Coturnix japonica: one gene and its partners. The protein of the gene in region 2 binds, or shares a complex with, the protein of the main gene of each other region. Links are inferred from orthologs where the notes say so. Each region holds a gene or a part of one and is shown on either strand. Other genes may lie near its edges.

Region 1 (5,193 bases), on a different chromosome or scaffold from region 2:
GGGTTTGAATCTGGAGGCCTGATAAACTCTTGACAGCTGATCTGCTTCAGTTTTGTTCTCAACCACAAACATCAGAACTGTTTTCCAGCTCAAGAGGAATGGGAGTCCAGGCTGTAATAAAGGGCCAACCTGAAATCACTAAGTGATATCCTGGGCTTTTTTGGTCTTTTGGTTTTTCTGTTTGTCTTGCACCATCCTATTTAACTCTGCTCGGCCATAGCATCCAGGGTTGAGATTCAAATGCATTAAAGGAATGCTTAAGAGGAAAACAAAACCCCAAAAACACAGCAATTGCACAAAGACAAATGATTAGGAAACTTGTATGGTAGAGATTAAAGTTATTGAAACAACAACAAAAAGGATGACTAAGCATTAATAAGCAGCTTGGATTCAGTGTAGTTAATGAGCAACATAATATCCAATAACAACCTCCTGCCCAGTGTGGGTACATTTGCACATTTCTTGGAAATCCAGGCTCTGTGAAATTCAGTCAGTAGGAGAAACAACGTGATATTAAAACCATAATTACTTTAACATGGCTTTAAAAGGGCTGTAATCAATACCCAGCTTTATATCCTTAGTTAACTAAGTACACATCTGTACTTACATTGTCTGTTATAAGCATCCCAGACCTGAGCTTAACTGAGTCACCACTCAGCTGTAATTGTAGCCTAATTGATTGGTTGCTGTTTAGGTGATGCCTTGAGGAGACACTCCACAACATACAGGTGTGAATATATTCCTGACCACCACATTGCGTGCAGCAACTCACAGGTGTGCAGTGGTACCACAAGCGTTGCAGTTAAGCATTATATCAGCTCCACAGACAGCAGTTATAAAATGATAGTATTATATTAACACTGCAGAAGTTGCTGTGGTGCTGTCCAAATGTTCGCTGCTTTTTGCACTGAGCTGAAGTCCATAGTATTTAGTCCAGTATTTGACACATGTGATCACTTTGTGCTCATCTAAAACTTTTAAAGCAAACACCTGCAAAGGATTTGTGGAGGAAGCAGGGCAGGAAAACCGAAAGCGCAATCACAGTCCCTGTTTTTTAGCTCAGATCTAAGATAAGGCTTTCAAAGTACTTCAGCTTTGTATTGCTGGGGTCATCACTCATGTGAAACTTGCTTTTTTGTGTAGCCACACCAGATCTCTGTATACACGCCTTGAGCTTCAAGGTCTTTCTATCGCTAACTCAGGGAAACTGATGCTTCTATATAAATACAAACAGGGAATATGTACGTTGGAATCCCTCCAACGTTTTGTTACCAATTAACACAGCCACGAAGCCGGATTTCTATCGCACCTTCAGGCAGGCAGCGAGGCACAGAGAACCGACTTCAGCTGGGGGTTGACAACTTCCAGCAGCCCGTTCCAGCCCAGCGATTCCATAACACAGCAACCAGCCGAACCCCAGCCGGGCACAGAGCACCGAGCTCACAGCGCACCCTGTGAGGAGCCTCCACAAACCAGCCTCAGTACCGCGGTATCCTTCCGCCCGCCCCGTGATGCCCCGCACTAAACGCTCGTCCCGCCCCTCCGCCGTTTAACTGACGGCTTTTAAACCAACGTTCCGATAACCGGGGAAGCAGCCGCAGCGGGACAGCGAGCCCAGCCCGCCATCGTGTGTGTGCTGCGAGAGAGGCGAGTTCCCCAGGGGAGCCTCTGAGCAGCCGGGCCGACCCGCCAAGAGGCCGCTCCGCCATCGGGGTCGGCACAACCCCCCTCCCCGCTCACTGCGGCGGCTCCAGCTCCCGCCGCGCATCGCGTGTTGCGCGCGCAGCCGCCGCCCTGTGTCGCGGGGCGGAGCGGGCGGGCGCTCATTTCCTCCTTGGGCGCCATTTTGTAGCGCAGAGAGTCCGCAAATAAAGAGCGGGCGGGAGCGGCGCGCGGGGACGCGCGGCTGGGGGGGACGCGGCCGAGACCCCGGCTGCGGAGCGGAGGAACCGGCCGAGCCGGCGGCGGGCGAGGGAGGCGGCGGACGGGCCGGTGCGAGCGGCGTTCGGCACTCGATGTGACGGGTCCGGCCCGGGCTATCGAGCGAGCTGCCGAGAGAGCGGGCCTACGCACCGCCGGCGGGAGGTGAGCGGGAGAGCGGGCGCCGTTTCACCGTGGGCGGCGGCGGGCACCCGGCGGTCCGGCCCTCACCACGGGCGGGAGGGGAGCGGAAGCGCCTAGAGCCATTTTGTGCCAGGCCCGGCGGCCCGCGGGGAGTCTCCTCCCCCACACTCGGCCGCGCCGCGCCCCGGCGCCGTCCGCCTCGAAGGAGGGAGGGGGTGGGAAGAACCGCCACGGGCCGGGGGGGCCGCGGGGTGTGAGGGGTGAGCGGCTGCGGCGGGCACGGGCCGCGGGGTTCGGCGCATAAGGTGGGGCTGGAACGGAGGGGAGGGGGCGGGAGCCGAGGCGGTGTGAAATCAGCCCGCGGCCGAGCGTGAAGTGTGTGTGTATGTACGTGTGTGTGTGGATGGGGGGGGTACCTTTTTCCCCTTCTCGCGGAAGCCTAGATGCTTTTTTAGGGATTTCCCCACAACGCTTATTTACGTATCATTAAAGGAACTGGCAGTTAGTTAAAGCACGAGTAGGGAAGCAGCAGCTCGCTCATATCTGTGCTTAACTACTTCTTGACTTCCTTGTTCTGTTTAAATGAGTTGAGTTTAGAGTGAATGCTTGCATGGGAATTGGGAGGTGAAATTCACATATGCTGTTATCTATCTGTGTATGTATTCAACCTAAGTTTTCTGAGGTAACTTACTGAATTCTTTTAGTAAACTTTATTTTGTGGCGGTGTTTTTTTTATGTCTATCCGCTGCAAATGATAACAAGTGATAGTAAGGCTGCCTTGTGCAATGCAGTGGCCTGTAGCATCCATCTTCCTCGCTGCTGTTGAAGGATCTTCAACAGATGGCAAGAGTTAGCTTTGCTGTCAATGTAGTTTTCTTTTTTTAGCTGTAATTGTAGTTCTCTTGGACACAGGAAATTGTGTTTCTCTCTGTCAAGGATTTCAGTGGTGCTGAAGTTTTCAAGGCTGGAACTTGTGAATACGGAAGCAGTAAAAGATTCCTAAATGTTTTAAGGAGGATTTAAGTAGGCGACTTAAGTACAGGGCTCACTAGCATTCTTTTTCCAATCTCTAAGTTATTCTGTGTTAGTTTGAATGAGTGAGTTGAGCACCATCAAGTTCATATTTAGCCTCTTGGATATATATTCAAGGTACGTGTTAAGTGAAGCAGGAGCTGTGCCAGAAGTTAAAGCACTGAGGAGTGGGGAGGAGAGGGCTTTATCTTGGGGAAGCACTTCAGTTCTGCCATCATCGTATCATAGTATCATAGTCTCGTGAGGGTCGGAAGGGAACTTAGAGATCACCATGAGGGCTAGGAACAGGAAGCTGCCATTCATCAGTGAGATGCTTTTACTACGTGTTTTTAGAGCCATTCCCACAGGTTCTGATGTCAGTTTCTATTTTATGAAGGGCTTAGAATCTGTTTCCTCTGTGTGCACTGCTTGCTGTCTTCTTAGGGTTTTCTTTGAAAGAAAAAGAAACTTGATTTGAATGGAGTTCTGTGTATTTGTTGGTAGTTAGTAGGTTTCTGTAAACTGAGGCAGTTGTGCTTCATTTGGAGTGTATTTGTGTTATTGACAGGAATGGGGCCCTTAGGATTTGTAGAAGTTCCATTAGTTCCATGCGTGCCTTTGTGAATATACCAAAGGTGCTTCGTGTGAGTCCTTTGAAACCAGTTCTTTGAATTGAAGTGCATTGTTTTCATCAAGTTGTGTTCATGACTGAGGAGTTGGCTGCATAATTTGAGTAGACATGAGTTGCAGCAGCTCTATACACTTGTCAAATCTCAGTACTGTTTGCAGCTTTCTATGGAAGGCACATTGCAAAGATGCATGGCTCTAAAGAAGTTCAGCTTCCTTGTTAAATATGCTTTAATGCTGTAATAGCTAATAGTCTTGTGCGGGTTGGAAGGGACCTTAGAGATCATCGAGTCCAACCCCCGGGATTCGAGCCTCTGTGTAGCAGAGCGGCACTTCTACCACTTGCACCACAGGGGGGATTCGAACCCAGGCCCTGTCTAAGGGTTTTTGTGGGCTTGATTTTTAATGTTGTCTGACTTAAATAAATCTCTATTTGCAGGTAAGAAAGCGTGTCTAGTAACTCAAGGAAGTGTGAATATTTAACTTAGCACAAATGTGGTCCTGTTATGGTACATACACACAGGATGAATTGAATTTTGATAGTTAGCCAAGCCATTAACTGACATACTGCCTTCCCTAAAAATAACCACAAGGGCTTTTAACTTAATATTAAGTTTGTAGCTTAATATTAATTTATCACAATATCACAATTAAGCTTAATATTTATTTATCACAATCTTAAAAGTAAGAGTTGAAAGCACATAATGTGACCCAAGCTTTACAGGTAATGTTCGAAATAATTTGCTTTATTCTAAAATGGTACTGAAGTAGTAGTGTTAATTGCTTTTATAGTTGATGTTATCCCCTTCCTTGTGGAACACTGCATTAAGTAGTTTTGGACACACAGGAAATGCCACTTTGCTTATATTTATTTAAATTAACAAGGTCTGATGTTTTTAGCAGGACACGGGGAAATGGTTTTAAGTTGAAAGAGGGAAGATTTAGGTTGGATGTTAGGGGGAAGTTCTTTACTAGGAGAGTGGTTAGGTCCTGGAACAGGCTGCCCAGGGAGGTTGTGGATGCCCCGTCCTTGGAGGTGTTCAAGGCCAGGTTGGACGGGGCCCTGGGCAACCTGATCTAGTAAATGTGTATGTTTGGTGGCCCTGCCAGGCAGGGGGGTTGGAACTACATGATCCTTGAGGTCCCTTCCAACCCGGGTCATTCTGTGATTCTGTGATGTTTTGTTCTTAGTTAAGTTGAAAACATCACTGGTAGCATTTATAGATGCTAAGGAAAGCTTTGGCTAACTCCTCTAAAGAAGTCCCTTGACTTTGTATCTCAGTGACAACAGTAAACTTGTCTTGGTTGTGCTTTGGCTCTATGTTGTGTGGAGCCAACATTGCAGTGATCTAATGTCAGAAAGAGAAATTAAGAGTAGAACTACAGGTGTCTTGCAGAGTATTTCATACACAGTAATAACTAAACTAACACTCCTTTTTCCCCCTTCAGAGTTCACAATGACGAATGAAGAACCTCTCCCAAAGAAGGTAT
Region 2 (5,173 bases):
TATTCTACATCAAACTGCTGCTGTTCTTATGCAGGACATATGTAGATGTTTGACAGTCCATAATGCACAAGTGCAATAATTTACAGAAGATAAGGGAGTCGAACTTTAATCCTTATTTTAGGACTATATAAAATAGATATGCAGTAAATCGGTGATCTTAATTTCATGAAGAAACATTTGTTTGATGGCAAAGAGATTGCTACCTTAATGTTTTAGCACTATATTATTTTTTAATGGAAAAGCAAAAAAGGAAAAAAAAAAAACAAACACGAATCTTTGCACAGTGAGGGAATATATAATAGCAGAAGTATAAGAAATGTCCATGTATAATGTCCCCTCAGTATTTACGATTCCCAGTTGTTGGCATTTATGTTGATATTTGTTAAGTCTCCTTATTTGATTGCATCAGAGAATTTTTCCTATATCATACTGCACTGAGAAGGATATTGCTGCAAGTAAGGTTAGTGGAAAATCTCAGGTGAAAAGCTAAGCACTAAGTACGTTATTCTGCCCTATGGACCTGAGTGAACTCCATTAAGATCATTGTAAAAAATCCTATAAATCTCAATCATATGGACAGGATCCTCACACAGTGGGCAAAGGCGTGAAACTGACATCTTTATTCTGTAATAAATGCAAAAAACTTCAGTTCTAATGGCAATCGGTGTCATTTTTTATTTCAAATGCAGTGGGGGTTTGAACCTCAAAGGTGCTGCTGGTACAGCCCAAGCTGGTGACAACATGACTTCTTATTACTGTTAAGCAAATGCCCTTTGTGTGCCAGACTGGCATCTCCATGAACTGGAACTAGGTGTGTGCTTAGGAGCCAAGCCAGACTGACCTGCACGTCCTGAGATGGAAGCATTTCTCAGAGTCTGTAATGCTTTTCTTTAGCCCTCTAGAGAAGGACCTGAGGATCCTGGTGGATGAAAAAAGTGAACAAGGCAGTAGCCTGTTCTTGCAGCTCAGAAAGCAAATGGTATCCTGGGCTCCATCAGAAGAGGGGTGGCCAGCAGAGACAGGGAGGTGATTGTCCCTCTCTACTCTGCCTTCAGGAGGCCCCATCTGGAGGACAGCATCCAGATTTGGGGGCTCCAATATAAGAAAGACAGAGAACTGCTGGAGAGGGTCCAGAGGAGGGCCACAAAGATGACTGGAGGACTGGAGCACCTCCTGTGTGAAGATGGGCTGAAGGAGCTGGGCTCATTCAGTCTGGAGAAGGATGGGGGGTGACCTCATTGCAGCCTTTCAGTATCTAAAGGGAACCTATAAACAGGAGGGGAGTCAACTCTTTGAAGGTGTAGATAACAGCAGGACAAGGGGAAATGGTTTTAAGTTGAACGAGGCAAGATTTAGGTTGGATATCAGGGGGAAGCTCTTTAATACAAGAGTGGGGAGGAGCTGGAACAGGCTGCCCTGAGAGGAGCAATGCAATGCACTTATCTCAGTCTTGGACTGTGTATTTCCTCAAGGTATGGCAGTGCTCTCAATTCAAATGGTACAAAGCATTCGACCTGTCCTGAATGTTGGTGTTCCACACAAAGTCTGAGGTGATGGTTCTGTATGTATCACTACAGCCTTTGCACTATGGGGTGCTACACTTGGAGATACATTTCACAACCCTTTTACAGATCTGTGTATTGAAGGCCGTTGTATCCACTGACTGAAAAACAAAAGCTGTGCGTACTGAGAAAACACTCCGTGCATCCGCATGGTATTCAGTCCTTGCAGATGTGTCTGTACGGATCCCAATGCTGAGCAGCACCCAGAGCAGTGTGTGCTTATGGCCCCCGCTCGGCTCCATGGCGCCATGGCCGTTTCCCCTCAGCGCGCTCCTTGCCGCTCTCCCCGCCCGTTGCCCCGAACCTTCCGCTTCCGGCCGCGCCCTTCCTCTCCCACAGCGCCCCGCGCCATGGACCACAATGGTGAGGAGGGCCGGGCCGGGCCGGGCCGGGCCGGGGGCTGCTGGGCCGCGCTGCCGGACGGGGGGCGGTTGTGAGCGGGCTGCGGGGCGGAGGGCGGCTGGGCCGGTGCTCGGGAACGCGTCGGGCCGCGGTGTGAGCCCGGGCGCGGGGCCTGAGCCGTGCCCGGAGCGCCGAGCTCGCCGTCCCCTCCCCCAGCGAACGCGGCCGATCCGCGCTCCGTTCTGCGGGGCCTGTGCGTCAGGGTTCGGGTTTGTGCTGTGTTATGGATTATAAGAAGGCCTAAAATGCTCAAGAAAACAGAGGAGCTCCGCTGCTGCTTGCATCCTCTCCAGGTCTAAAGATTTGGGTACAGCTGTTGTACTTGTTTAGGGCTGGGTGTGTATCCACAGACCAGAGCGTGTCTTACAGGCCTTATGAGGAGCGGCTGAGGGAGCTGGGGTTGTTCAGTCTGGAGAAGAGGAGACTCAGGGGAGACCTTGTTGCTCTCTATAACTTCCTGAATGGAGGTTGTAGTGAGCTGGGGGTTGGCCTCTTCTCTCGTGTAATCGGTGATAGAACTAGAGGGAATGGTTTAAGCTGCGCCAGGGGAGATTCAGGCTGGACATTAGGAAGTATTACTTCTCAGAAAGGGTAGTCAGGCATTGGAATGCACTGCCCAGGGAGGTGGTGGAGTCACCAACCATGGGAGTGTTCAAGAAATGTTTGGATGTGGTGTTGATGAATATGATTTAGCTGGGAAGTATTGGTGATGGTTGGACTAGATGATCTTGTAGGTCTTTTCCAACCTTGATAATTCTGTGATTCTGTCGTCCTTCTGGAAACAGGCAGGAGCAAGTAGGAGCCAACTCTGCCCGCTGGGTTTGGGGCTGTGGGCATTCGCTGGGCAGGGTGAGAACTGAACTGCTCCCGCTGGACAGCGCAATGGAGCGAGCGCTGTGCTGAGTTCTGACCTTGTGTTTGGTGTATTTATCAATGCTTGCAAATGGACCGACGTCTGTAGGACTGCTGTGGCCTGTAGTGCAGTGTGTTGTTTGCTGTGCAGCAGAGCAGCCCAGGGAGCGATCAGAGGAAAACAGGTGCTGTCTGATGAATGGATCACAAAATATGGGCACTTATAATACTGAAGCAAAGTGAGTGTGAAGGCACAGTCCTGATTTGGAACTTGGTTGCTGTTGCAGAGGAAAGCTGCGAGCTTTGAGGCACAGAGTTTACACGAGGTGTTGTGCACGGTGCCCTGATGGGGCCCTGTCTCAATGTCCAGGTACTGCAGAGCTGTCACCGAGTTGTGTGTCAGTTTTGTTTCGGAATGGAATTTGCCTTCTGGGTTACTTGTGATCTTACACACTTGTCCATCTCCTTTCTATAGGGATACAGACTTAAAGGCATCTGAACATCAGTCTGATAATGGGTTTTGTAGAAGTCTGAGTGTTTGTTGCAAAGTGCTGACTGAATGTGCTATTTTGTCTATCCATGTTCCTGTTAAAATGGAAGTGAGCTGGGTTGGTTTGTGAAGGGTGTGATTTTATTTTAGTATAAATGAGATGCTGTGTGGTAGGTTGAGGCAGACTTGCTGAAAGCCAGAGAAATTGGGGTGTGCACCAATCCTTGGCAGCACTTTCCTCTCCAGGTTGTCTCTTGGTGCCTGTTTTGGGCATATCCTTGTTTCCTTTGGTGCCAGTCTTAAATCTGGCCAACGCGCCCTGTAGAGAGGAATGGTGATCTTTAGCAAGGATGCTATGTACTCTAGGCACCAATATGTTTGTGATACTTCATGCTGAACTTGTAAATGATATGTCCAGGTGCAAAGGGTGGAACAGGCTGCCCAGAGAGGTTATGGATGCTCCATCCCTGGAGGTGTTCAAGTCCAGGTTGAATAGGGCCCTGGGCAGCCTGGTCTGGTATTAAATGTGGAGGTTGGCGGCCCTGCCTGTGGTGGGGGGGTGTTGGAGTTTGATGATCCTTGAGGTCCCTTCCAACCCAAGCCATTCTGTGATTCTGAGAACCTTCAGAAACTCTTTTGTAACTAAGAAATAACAGAATTTCCTTTTCTTCCACAGACAATGATTTGCAAGGAACAAACAGTTCAGCGTCATTGGGTGGGCTTGATGTTCGCAGAAGAATCCCTATAAAGCTGATCTCAAAGCAGACCAATAAAACCAAACCTGCTCCTCGGGCTCCCAGAGCTATGAACAGGATGCCTGCAAAGACACAAGCTGGGGATGAAGGTAAATTGCTACAAGCAACTCACCCCGCAGTGAGGCAGTGCATTCTGCAGCACTGCTGAAGGCTTTAGTCAGTGTTGGAATCCAAGATTTTTTACAGCTGCTCAGCCTGTTTAAGTTTCCAGGTTCTGCTGCTCTGTAAGGATTAAATTATGTCAATTCCCCAAACAAATTCACACTGTTTTGATTGTACCTTTCTGCAGAATAGCCCAGCAGACCGGGAGTGTTGCAGCCCGTCTTGATGTTTTCAGTATATGATGGTGCATGCACTCAATAGCAGCCGGTGTCAGTCAGGGAAGTGGTGTTGCCTTGTGTCTGTCTTTCCTCTTTCCACAGAAGAATTTGATTTTAATGAAGAGGAGCGATACGAATGCAAAGGAGGTGAAATGTTTGGAAATCAAAGGAGATTCCCCGGACCCATTTTTTGGGACTATAAGGTAAAATCGTGGATGGGAAATGGTGGAACTTTGTGAATTGTACCAAACTGAAGGTTATTTTAAGAAGTATCTACTAGGATGAAAGCACTTGCATTACTTTGATGTACCAAAAATACATTTTTATCTTTGCGGTGGTCTTGCTTCAGTCTGGTAATTCAGAAAGGGTGGGTTGGTGATGACTGCAATGAGAAGAAGCTTTAGTAATGGTTCTCTTTCTCTGTTCTTCTAGATAAACTTGCTGGGGGAGAAGGATGATACGCCCGTCCATTTCTGTGACAAGTGCGGATTGCCCATCAAAATGTATGGGCGCATGGTGAGTGGGACTCTTGGGAAGAGGCAGCCACGGTGTCCCTGTAGGTAACAGGTGTTACTGTGTCTCTGTGGGGCTTCCAGAGGGTGGTAATTTCAGCAAACCTCTGAGTAAATGGCAGAACAATGTTGAGATGGAACCAGGGCCTTAACTGCTGGACTGCGTTGTTCTGCCTGACTCGCTGAGTTTGCTTTGCCCCTTGATTTAATAAAGTAAGCTTGAAAGTGCAAAAATCAAGAGCTTTAAAACAAACACAATCCCTTCCCCTCCCCCAAAATA
Region 3 (5,123 bases), on a different chromosome or scaffold from region 2:
GAAATGAAAAAAGGACACACGAATCAAAATGAGGAAGATGGGAGTTTGTTCTTCCCTTCCCCCCCCTCCCCATCCCCATCCCCACCCACCCCCTTCCCCAGTCTTTTGTTGTGGGGGTTGTTTGTTTGTTTGTTTCCTTTTCTTTTTTATCTATTTATTTTGTCATTAAAGTCAAAGCAGGCCAAGCCTCCCTGCTATCCCCACAGATGAGGGATTCTCAACACATCCTACTCACTCTAATGGCTAACCAACCTTTCTGGCTTCTAACCTTATAGAAAAATGCGGTAACAGAAAATAAAAAGAATGGGCACAGAAAGTCACCTACAAACAAAGATCTAATTTAAAATCATGACTGGGCTGGCTAAGGCTGTATCCCATAGCACCTGGCACACGCTGGAGGGGCTGTGTGGAGGAGTAGGCAGGGTTGGGTACAGAGCACACAAGGGCTTTTAAGATGCCCCACGGACGATGATCATGACCAGATAGTCGTCCTCTGATTTGGCCAACGCCTTGGCCGTGGAGTCCAGGAACTGCTGGGAGAAGTCGCAGGGCGGAAAGGCGTGCAGGACCCCGCTGTTCTCCTTGTCTTTGTTGCCCCCCACAGGGAGGCTGATCACCCCAGCAGCCTGCTTTTGCTTTAGATAAGAGACCAGATTCCTGAGCGGCCTCTGGGTGGAGGTGGTGGCCTCGCCAGCCCCGGCTGTGGAGCGGTTGTCTGATGTGCCGGGCACAGCCAAAAGGATGGCGTAACCATTGGGACCCGCCACCTTGATGCGGCGGTTCACCTCATCCAACTTGGGCTGGTCCAGACGAAGACGTTGGGTGATCTTGAGCTGAGCTACTTTCCCACCAGTCGCTCCTTCCACAAGGAGACTGCTGGCAACTCCGAGGTCCCCCTGAAGCAGGTGCATATTGGACGGGAAATTGCTGTTCTTCAGCAGAAGCATCCCCTGCCACGCCAAGCACAGCTTGGGGGCTCCCCCGGCCTGCGATGCTCCGTCCTGCTGCTGTTTCTGAGGTGGAGGTTTGAGGCGGGAGCCTCCACCGCCTCCCTCTGCAGCACGTTCATCCTTTTTGGCCGGGCTTTTGCACTCCTGTGCAGCAGCAGCAGAAGTGCGATGTTTCCGCTCCCTTTCAGCGGAATTCTTTCGGTCACGCTTTTCGTTCTGACCCCTCTCCAAGCTGCCCCTCCGTGACTCCCGGATGGGAGAGGGCCGCTCCAAGAGGAGCAAGCGAGACGATGAACGCTCCGGGTCGCTGCTGTAACGCTCCCTCCCCCCGACGAGCTCAGGGCTGCGGTCTGGTGGTGTGGTCGTGGTCAAGCAGTGACGCTTCCGAGAGGAAGAAGAGCGCTCGCTGTCCGGAGAGCGATCCAAGTGCCGGCCTCCGTCCTCAGCCAGCCTCCGTTTCCTAGGCTGATCCCTACTACTGCCCAACTCCCGCTCCCCTCGGTCCCGCTCTAAGGACCAACCATCCCGACGGCGTTCTAGGCTTTCCAGTGGGTCGTAGGCAGCTGCTCGGTTACTCCTGTCCCGTACAGGGGGTGGGGGTGGCACCCACTCTGTCTCGGGATAAAGGTCTCTATCACGGTCTCTATAGAGCAACGGTGGCGTCCTGTCCCGGGCACCCCGCAGAGGATCGGGTGGGGCCCCCCGGTGAGCCCCAAAAGCAGCCGCCTCCGCCACGAGCTCATAATGAGCAGGAGGGGGCAAAGGCAGGGGCTGCAGGTAGGGCTGCTGGTACCGATGCTCGGTATCCGCAAAGTCAACGCGGAGGCGGCGATCCGGCCCACCCAATGGAAAGCCACGCATGTGGGTGCAGGCCGCCTGCGCCGCGTCCAGGCTCTCATACTGGATGTAGGCCCATGAATCACCTTTGCGGTAATCAATGGTACGAATGGTGCCAAAACGGTCAAACTCCCTGGCCAAGGCGGCAAGGGGCACCCAAGGCCCGAGGCCACCCACCCAGAGCCTGGTAGTTGGAGTGGCTTTACCATACCCAATCTTGATAGGGTTACGCAGGAGCACCTTTCCCGACATGGCCAGCTTGGCTCGATGCGCCATGTCCAGATTCTCAAACTTAAGAAACCCATAAGTGCTAGTCTGCCCGCGCCCCGGCCTTTTGATGTCCACCTCAGTAATGACCCCAAAACGATCAAAAGCTCGACGTAAATCTGTCTCGCTCACGGTGATGTCCAGGTTGCCCAGGAACAACGTGCGGTTGGCTCTCTGGTCATCCTCAGGGCTGATCTCCTCCTCACTGGCAGCTCCAGCACCCCCTCCTCCTCCACGGAATCCCCCAGCAGCCGCCACGCTGGCCACCCTTTCCAGCCCATAGGCCGGCCGCACTCGCGCCTCATAAAAACCCCCATAGTCCCTCTCCCTCTCCAACTCCCTGGGCAAAGGGGGAGGGGGCGGCAAGCGGCCCAAAGCGAGCTGCTGCAGCCGGTAGTCCCGGTAACCCAACGCCCCTCCGCTGCCGGCGGGGGACAAAGCCCGCTGCGTCGCCCCAGCTGCGGGATGCCGTACAGCTGCCGCCGCCGCCGCCAGCCCCACGGCTGCCGTGCCGTAGGGTGACTCCTTGTCCAGCAGCGCCGGCGAACGGCTGCTCCTCCTCCTGCTGCTCCCTCCGCCGCTCCCCACGTAGACGGCCTCGATCTTCAGCGGCCGGTCGTACAGCACGAGGCGACCACGGGCGTGTTTAGCGGCTCGTGCATCTTCAGGCCGTCGGAAGTTAACGAAAGCCACACGTTCATCCGCAGCGCCGGTACCGGGCGGGAGGCGACTGATTTTAACACTCACATCTCCGAATCGTTTGAACTCATGGAACAGCCCGTCCTCCACCGCCTCGTCGCTCAGAGCCGAGCCCAGCTCGCTGATCTTCAGTGTCTTGTACTCCCCGCTGTCAGACGACGACGACTGGGCCGCAACCGTCCGGGACTCACCCCCGCGGCTGCTGCTGCTCCGTGACGGCTCCGTGCTCTTCCCGCCGTACCCGTGCCGCCCTCCCGTGCCCGTGGCCGCCCCGCTCTCGGTCCGTGCGGCCTTGTCCTGGTGCGGGCCCCGCCTCCCGCTGTTGTTATCGTTCGAAGCCGCCGCCGCCGCTTTGCCGCCGTTGGAGCCGCCGCCGGAGCCGCTGGGCTTCTTGCTGCTCCGCTCTCGCGTTGAGGAGGAGGATGAGGCCGAGTCCTCGCCGCCCCCTCCGCCCCGAGACCGCTTGGCTTTGGCGGGGGAGCGCTCCTTGCCTTTCATGGCGGTGCCCGGCGGGGCCGCCTCCCGCCCGGCCCTGCGCCCCGGCGGCCTCACCGACGGACCGACCGCCGCGCTCACGCATCCGCCGCCATCTTGGAAGCCGCGGCCGCCGCCGACCCCGCCCCCTCGGCGCCCATTGGCCGCTCGCAGCCTCACCCCACCCTCTCTCTCCCGCCGGGCGGAAATCCCGCCCCACCGCCCCGCCGATCCTCGTTCCTATTGGCTGAGGGAGATGTCTGTCTATGGGCCGGCCTCGCGCGCCGGGAAGAGCCGCCCCCCATCCGCCCCGCCCCGCTGTCTCATTGGATAGTTAGAAAGGGCGCGGCCTTCTGATTGGTCCAGCTCTCCTGTCACTAGGAGCGGCTCTGCCTTTTTCCCATTGGTCATTGGGCGAAACTCTCTCCTCCTTCCAATTGGTCCTTTCACCTGCCAGTTATCTCGCCCCTGCTCCCCATTGGTCCGCGGGTTCCCGTTGTCCCGCTCAAATTCTCGCGAGCAGCGCTTTACCCGCCCCCTTTTCCCATTGGTCACTGCCAACCTGGTCTGCCTTGTTCTGATTGGTTGAAGCCAATGCCACTCCTGCAGAAGCGCGGGATGCTGCCCACGCTCCGCTCTTCGTTTACCATTGGACGAGAAAATCTCCCTAAGCACCCGATTGGATGCGGGTAGGAGCTTGCGGATTGGCTAATATGGCTGTCAGTCAAGCGCGCTTTGATTTTGATTGGTCTCCTGGTGGGTGTTGGGGTTCATTAATTACATGGAGGGTGTTTGGGTTCATTATATGGGGGCTGATTGGGTTCATTAATTACGTGGGGGTGATTGGGTTCGTTAATTACCTGGGGGGTGATTGGGTTCCTTAATTACATGGGGGGTGATTGGGTTCGTTAATTACCTGGGGGTATTTGGGTTAATTACCTGGGGGTGTTTGGGTTCCTTAATTACATGGAGGGGTGTTGGTGTTCATTAATTACCTGGGGGGTGATTGGGTTCATTAATTACATGGGGGGTGTTTGGGTTAATTAATTACCTGGAGGGTTTGGGGGTTCATTATGGGGGGGGTGTTTGGGTTCATTATATGGGGGGTGATTGGGTTCATTAATTACATGGGGGATATTTGGGTTCATTAATTACCTGGGGGGTTTGGGGGTTCATTAATTACCTGGGGGGTGTTTGGGTTCATTATATGGGGGATATTTGGGTTCATTAATTACCTGGGGGGTGTTTGGGTTCATTATATGGGGGATATTTGGGTTCATTAATTACCTGGGGGGTATTTAGGTTCATTACCTGGGGGATGTTTGGGTTCATTAATTTACCTGGGGGATATTTGGGTTCATTAATTACCTGAGGGGTGTTTGGGTTCATTATATGGGGATATTTGGGTTCATTAATTTACCGGGGGGGTTTTGGGCGTTCATAATACCTGGGGGTATTTAGCGTTCATTACCTGGGGGGATGTTTGGGTTCATTAATTACCTGGGGGGTTTTGGGGTTTATTAATTACCTGGGGGGTATTTAGGTTCATTACCTGGGGGGTCTGGGGGTTTATTAATTACCTGGGGGGTATTTAGGTTCATTACCTGGGGGGTGTCTGGGTGCTGCAGGCTGAGTGCAAGGTGCTGTTGTCTTGTTCCTCTTTAAATGATCATCTCCAACTCCATCGGGCACAGAGGAGGAGACACAAAGTGCTGCTGCTCCCCCTGTGCTGATCATCCCCTGCTGATCATCCCAGCTGCTCCCTGAGCTGCTTCGCATCCTCGTTTCTTCCTGCAGCCTCGCTCCCATCCCAGCTGCCCATTAGAGCTGTCGAAATGCGTTAGCTTCACTTAGGCAAAGCCACAAGAGCCCTCCTGGGAGCCTGTCTGCAGTGCG
Region 4 (4,648 bases), about 140 Mb from region 2:
GTTCTTAGCAGTTAAAATCACCCCTTTCATGCCACACAACCGATCTCTTGTTGAAAAAGTAAGCAGTTTTATTCACTCTGATTACTTTCCTCATTTTGTTTATGGTTACTTAAGCCTGACATTCAAAAATCACTTTGATAAAATAACCTTTGGAGAAGAAGATATCCCATCTAACATCCATTAGCTTTCGCTCCCCTTCTGACAGACAGGAACTACGTAGAAGTTTTTGCAATAATTATTTTCAGCCTGCTAATTTCCTTCACGTGTCTTGAATGCATGGGAAGTGATTACAGAAAGCTGCAATTCTTAACAGCACACATCCTTACTTCCCAGTCCATCAATTCATTTATATAACACTCAGCTTTAAAAGACAGTCATTCTACTTCATCCATCAGACACTACATCTATGATTAACATCATTTTTAAAAACTCAACATTCTCAAGCTGTAAACCTCAAGGAGTATGAATTAAGGTATTCATATCATATATTTATATAGAAATAGACGTTTTTATGATGCACTTTTTTTCTTTTTACTTAGATTCTGTTTCCATACATACATGTCACACAACAATGCTTCTTAAACCACTCTGAAAATTCAGGTTTAGAAACAGTGAAAATACATTATGGGTTAGTTTTGCTAGGAAGGGAAGAGTTCACTGGGAACAACATTTCCTTTGTAATCCATAGAAGTTATAAAGGTAACAACACAATAAGACTTCTCAGAACTACATTTAAAAGAGCCGCTATCATCTTATTCTCTCAGTCACCTGACAGCTTCTGTCAATACACATCTTCACAAATCCTACTCCAACAGTGTCTTAAAAACACTGCAACATGTAGAGCCCAAACAATAGAAAAGCCACTAATTAATAAAACTTACACAGATGAGCCATCCCAAAAATAACTTACAGTGTACTTCACTGTTAATAGATTCATTGTATCTGAATTTGTTTGAGTAATTTCCCGGGTAATTTACTTTTCCAGAGACACAAATGACCTCTCTGACTATTAAACATTTATTTTCTACAGTTACTAAACTATAATACTAGACAATCAATCATTAATCAACTAACAATTACACTTGTACATTTAGCTAAAATAAGGTATCAGAAAAGGTAAACCCCAGCATCTGAAGATTTCTAATTAGGGAGAGAATGTTTACCAAGGTTTGGTGTAAATTTATAGGCATCTTAATTTAAATGAAAATAATATGTTCTTTCTCCTATTGAATAACATACTCTTCCTCCCTCCCAATATTAATTCAATGTATTTTGTTTAAGAAGGCGCTGTGACTGTCTGCATTTTGTTTCTAAGATATGGAACTTCCAGCTAAACATATGCATTAAGCAAAAGAGCTAAGCATACATATTCATCTGCATAATAGTTTGGGGCTGACACAGCGTAGATAATTGTCTAATACAACTACTACTGATATCTGATATAACGAAGTTCTGCACGAATGTGCGGAAGAACTTCTTTACAGTGAGAGTGACGGAGCACTGGAACAGGCTGCCCAGGGAGGTGGAGTCTCCTTCTCTGGAGATATTCAAGACCCACCTGGACACCTACCTGTGTGACATGGTGTAGGGAGCCTGCTTTGGCAGGGGGGTTGGACTCGATGATCTCTAGAGGTCCCTTCCAACCCCTACAATTCTGTGATTCTGTGATCTAGTATCCTTCTTTATAGAAGAGCTACAAATTCATCAGAGAAAGGAGTGTTTCTTTGTCTGACATCACAACCTTTTGGTAGAGAGAATCCTCAAAGGTCAATCAGAATCCTTCCAACCCCTCTCCATTGTCTTTCAATAGTAGGAGTGTGTTAGGATAGAGACTGTGGTTGAGAATGATTTTCTTGTATTTGGTATTGATAATATTCATCCATTTACTATGCAAACAGTCAAGGGAAAATCTGTATTGCTTTCTCAATCTCCTAGTATTTCAAAAGATGACCAGTAACAAAACACTACCTTTAGCCGTTGTTATTCTAATTGAGCCCTCTTTAATGAGATAGCTAACAAAAATAATGCAAAAACAAAAGATCCCTGCTGACTTCAAAGAAGCCCTCCTTTCTTCTCACTGACCAGTTTCAAGATCATCTTGGATCTGCTATTAATCTGAAGACAAAAGGCTCAGTCACAGCATAGACAATAGCAAAGCTCCTTGCTGTCTGAGGAGTCATAAAAACATGATTTTTACACTAAGTTGGTTTTACTCATCGGCACTCCAACTCTGATTGCACCTTTGCTCTCTTCCAATAATGAACCCTAGTGGCTACTGCATAGAAGCACTCTGCTTAGAAACTGACTCTTTATAACCACTTCTGCCTTACACACAGCCCTGCAGATCTTGTATTTCTTTGAATGGTAGTGAGATGATCAGTTTAATCTTTCTTACCTTCTCTATTTGTTTCCCAGTCTCCATTTTCCTCTTCACTTTCTGGTGTTCTCTCCTTTGTAATTTTTATATCTTCCTTTTCTCTATGTCTTCCTCGTGAAGACTCTTTCTATAAGGGAAAAACACTGCATTAGAGTAAACAACTTTATTTTTTAAAAGAAGCCTGAAGAAGCAGGTACATTTTACATGGTATTTAGGCTGTTCCTTTTTAATAGCACAAAAAGCATTTTCCCCTTTAGCCTGTTGACCATATACCTTCTCAAATAAGCAGAGAATCCAAAGGCAGAATATTCTAACGCGATTTCACATAATCAGTATGCAAATAGCAGATTGGGAAAAGAGAGAAAAAGGGATTTGTCAAATAAGAAGGTTTACAGGCAGGGCAAGAATCAAGCATGTGCCAGAGAATCAAGTTTAAAATGGGAATCTAAAGAACAGATCAGGTTCTTGAAACCATAACTATAACAGCATTAAGAGTTCTCAGCTGTAAGTAAGAATGTCATATGAAAGGAAGATGACCTTTGGAGAAGCTGAACCACTTCACTTGGGAGGATAATGTGGGGAGGGAAAAGGGAGAGGCTAGCAGAAGGAAGTGGGGAAAAAGCCCAAAAGGAAAACGCTGGAATCAGGTTTTCTTAGAAGCTTTATCTTTGCTCATTGGCCCAGTATTAAAAATCAAGCCTATCTACCACAGTAGCACTCACTTAACATTTGGCAAAACAGCATGTGGTATATAGGATCATGATGGTCCTATGGATACCTAAGGATGTCTTTTCTTGGAGGAAACCATTTCAAAAGACAAGTGGATCTGTGCTACTTTCCTCACCCCCCCACCCTGCATTCCAGTAGTAAAGCAACATTGCCTCTGTTGTATCCACACTCTCTAAATAATCTCTCTGGACTCAAGCCAAGTACACGACAAATTCTTTTAACTGTATGCAATCAAAATAATAATAATAATAATAATAATAAAAGAATATCCAAGCATAGAAGACTAATTTATTACATAGGATACCAGAAAGAGCAATTAATGAAAGCCTGCCCCACTCCCCTTTTCTTCTCACCTCCCATAGTGCTTTCTTTTGTCTTTTGGGGATTCTTCAGCGCTGGTACGTTGGACCCCTTATGTGAAGGAAAAGGAAATGCCTGAGAATTTCACTAGCTATTCCCCATTGGGACTTAAGCCATTACTTCATTTAAACCCTTAACACCACCTTAGAGACACAGTGAGGAAATAATACAGTTTCATGGAGAGTCACTCCTAAGTCAGTACAATTAAACTATTCCTTTATTTCTTTAACAATGTCAAACTCTAGCTTAATTACATAAAAAATGACAGAATAAGTACTGCATTTATTTTCCCTAGTAAACTGAACAACACTTCAATGCATAGTTATCTTCAAACCCTTCATCTTGATGCATTAAGTACGTCATATTCAAAGCCTTAAAGGTTTTGAAAAACTGAGCATTTACTAAATGCTACATTCATTTACTAAATGATACAGAGGAACTTTTCATTAAAGAACAATTTTGTGTCAAGTGTAATTTAAAGCAGCTTCTACAGTGAGGAAAAGAGAGATTTTCATCGCTTTACGACAGGTTCTCTAAAAGGATGCACATGGTCCTAACCTACCAAGTCACACAGATTTCCAGCATCAACGCAACATGTACCGAAAGCATTCCAGTCTAAGTACAAAAAACTGTACTAAATTCCAAAGCAACTTACTTGAAAAAGCAACCAAAAAATGACTCATGAGATTCGAAGTTTGCAGCTTTATCAAGTCTCCCCTGAAGCTATTCTCTTGTTTCACTTTGAGCACCTTTGTTTTTCTAGACTGCTCTCCTGGAAGGCTGAATCTGTTCTACAAAAATGCTTATTTTTGCTATAGAATCCAACTAATTCCTACAACTATAATCAAATAATAAACATTAGTTCTTAAAAACACCAGATTCTATTAATTCAACACTATTTGGTAGTAGTGAACTACAGCACGCATGTAGTTCAGCATGTATATCTATGAGGAGTACAGCACCCCTCATAGATACTAACTTTAACAAACACCTCAAGGCCGATTCACAAAGCAACTCGCCAACAAAGAACCTGCAGCTTAATCGGAACAACTTAACAGTCCAAGTTAGAAACCATACAGAACCGGTACGTATCTCACCTACATCTCCAAACTTAAAACCCAACCCAACATACTGAAACAGCCTTTATTTTCTCCTTTCGGAGAAGAGATTCAGTAGTGGCAG

Evidence for each region.
Region 1: CBLL1 (region 2) and WTAP share a complex: the UniProt entries of both Homo sapiens proteins name them as parts of the WMM complex. The link is inferred for Coturnix japonica from reciprocal best matches to the Homo sapiens genes CBLL1 and WTAP.
Region 3: CBLL1 (region 2) and RBM15 share a complex: the UniProt entries of both Homo sapiens proteins name them as parts of the WMM complex. The link is inferred for Coturnix japonica from reciprocal best matches to the Homo sapiens genes CBLL1 and RBM15.
Region 4: CBLL1 (region 2) and ZC3H13 share a complex: the UniProt entries of both Homo sapiens proteins name them as parts of the WMM complex. The link is inferred for Coturnix japonica from reciprocal best matches to the Homo sapiens genes CBLL1 and ZC3H13.

Annotation. Positions count from the first base shown.
Region 1 is NC_029518.1:41,023,965-41,029,157, forward strand, and holds the start of WTAP (pre-mRNA-splicing regulator WTAP), read left to right. Parts: upstream 1-1,809; 5' UTR 1,810-2,085; intron 2,086-5,151; 5' UTR 5,152-5,159; coding exon 5,160-5,189; intron 5,190-5,193. UniProt on the Homo sapiens protein: Associated component of the WMM complex, a complex that mediates N6-methyladenosine (m6A) methylation of RNAs, a modification that plays a role in the efficiency of mRNA splicing and RNA processing.
Region 2 is NC_029516.1:13,295,022-13,300,194, forward strand, and holds the start of CBLL1 (E3 ubiquitin-protein ligase Hakai), read left to right. Parts: upstream 1-1,794; 5' UTR 1,795-1,810; coding exon 1,811-1,925; intron 1,926-2,009; exon of another isoform or gene 2,010-2,257; intron 2,258-3,982; coding exon 3,983-4,150; intron 4,151-4,483; coding exon 4,484-4,584; intron 4,585-4,813; coding exon 4,814-4,897; intron 4,898-5,173. UniProt on the Homo sapiens protein: E3 ubiquitin-protein ligase that mediates ubiquitination of several tyrosine-phosphorylated Src substrates, including CDH1, CTTN and DOK1. Targets CDH1 for endocytosis and degradation.
Region 3 is NC_029541.1:1,765,236-1,770,358, reverse strand, and holds the start of RBM15 (RNA-binding protein 15), read right to left. Parts: upstream 3,385-5,123; 5' UTR 3,252-3,384; coding exon 450-3,251; 3' UTR 1-449. UniProt on the Homo sapiens protein: RNA-binding protein that acts as a key regulator of N6-methyladenosine (m6A) methylation of RNAs, thereby regulating different processes, such as hematopoietic cell homeostasis, alternative splicing of mRNAs and X chromosome inactivation mediated by Xist RNA.
Region 4 is NC_029516.1:150,360,209-150,364,856, forward strand, and holds part of ZC3H13 (zinc finger CCCH domain-containing protein 13), read right to left. Parts: intron 3,518-4,648; exon of another isoform or gene 3,460-3,517; intron 2,505-3,459; coding exon 2,396-2,504; intron 1-2,395. UniProt on the Homo sapiens protein: Associated component of the WMM complex, a complex that mediates N6-methyladenosine (m6A) methylation of RNAs, a modification that plays a role in the efficiency of mRNA splicing and RNA processing.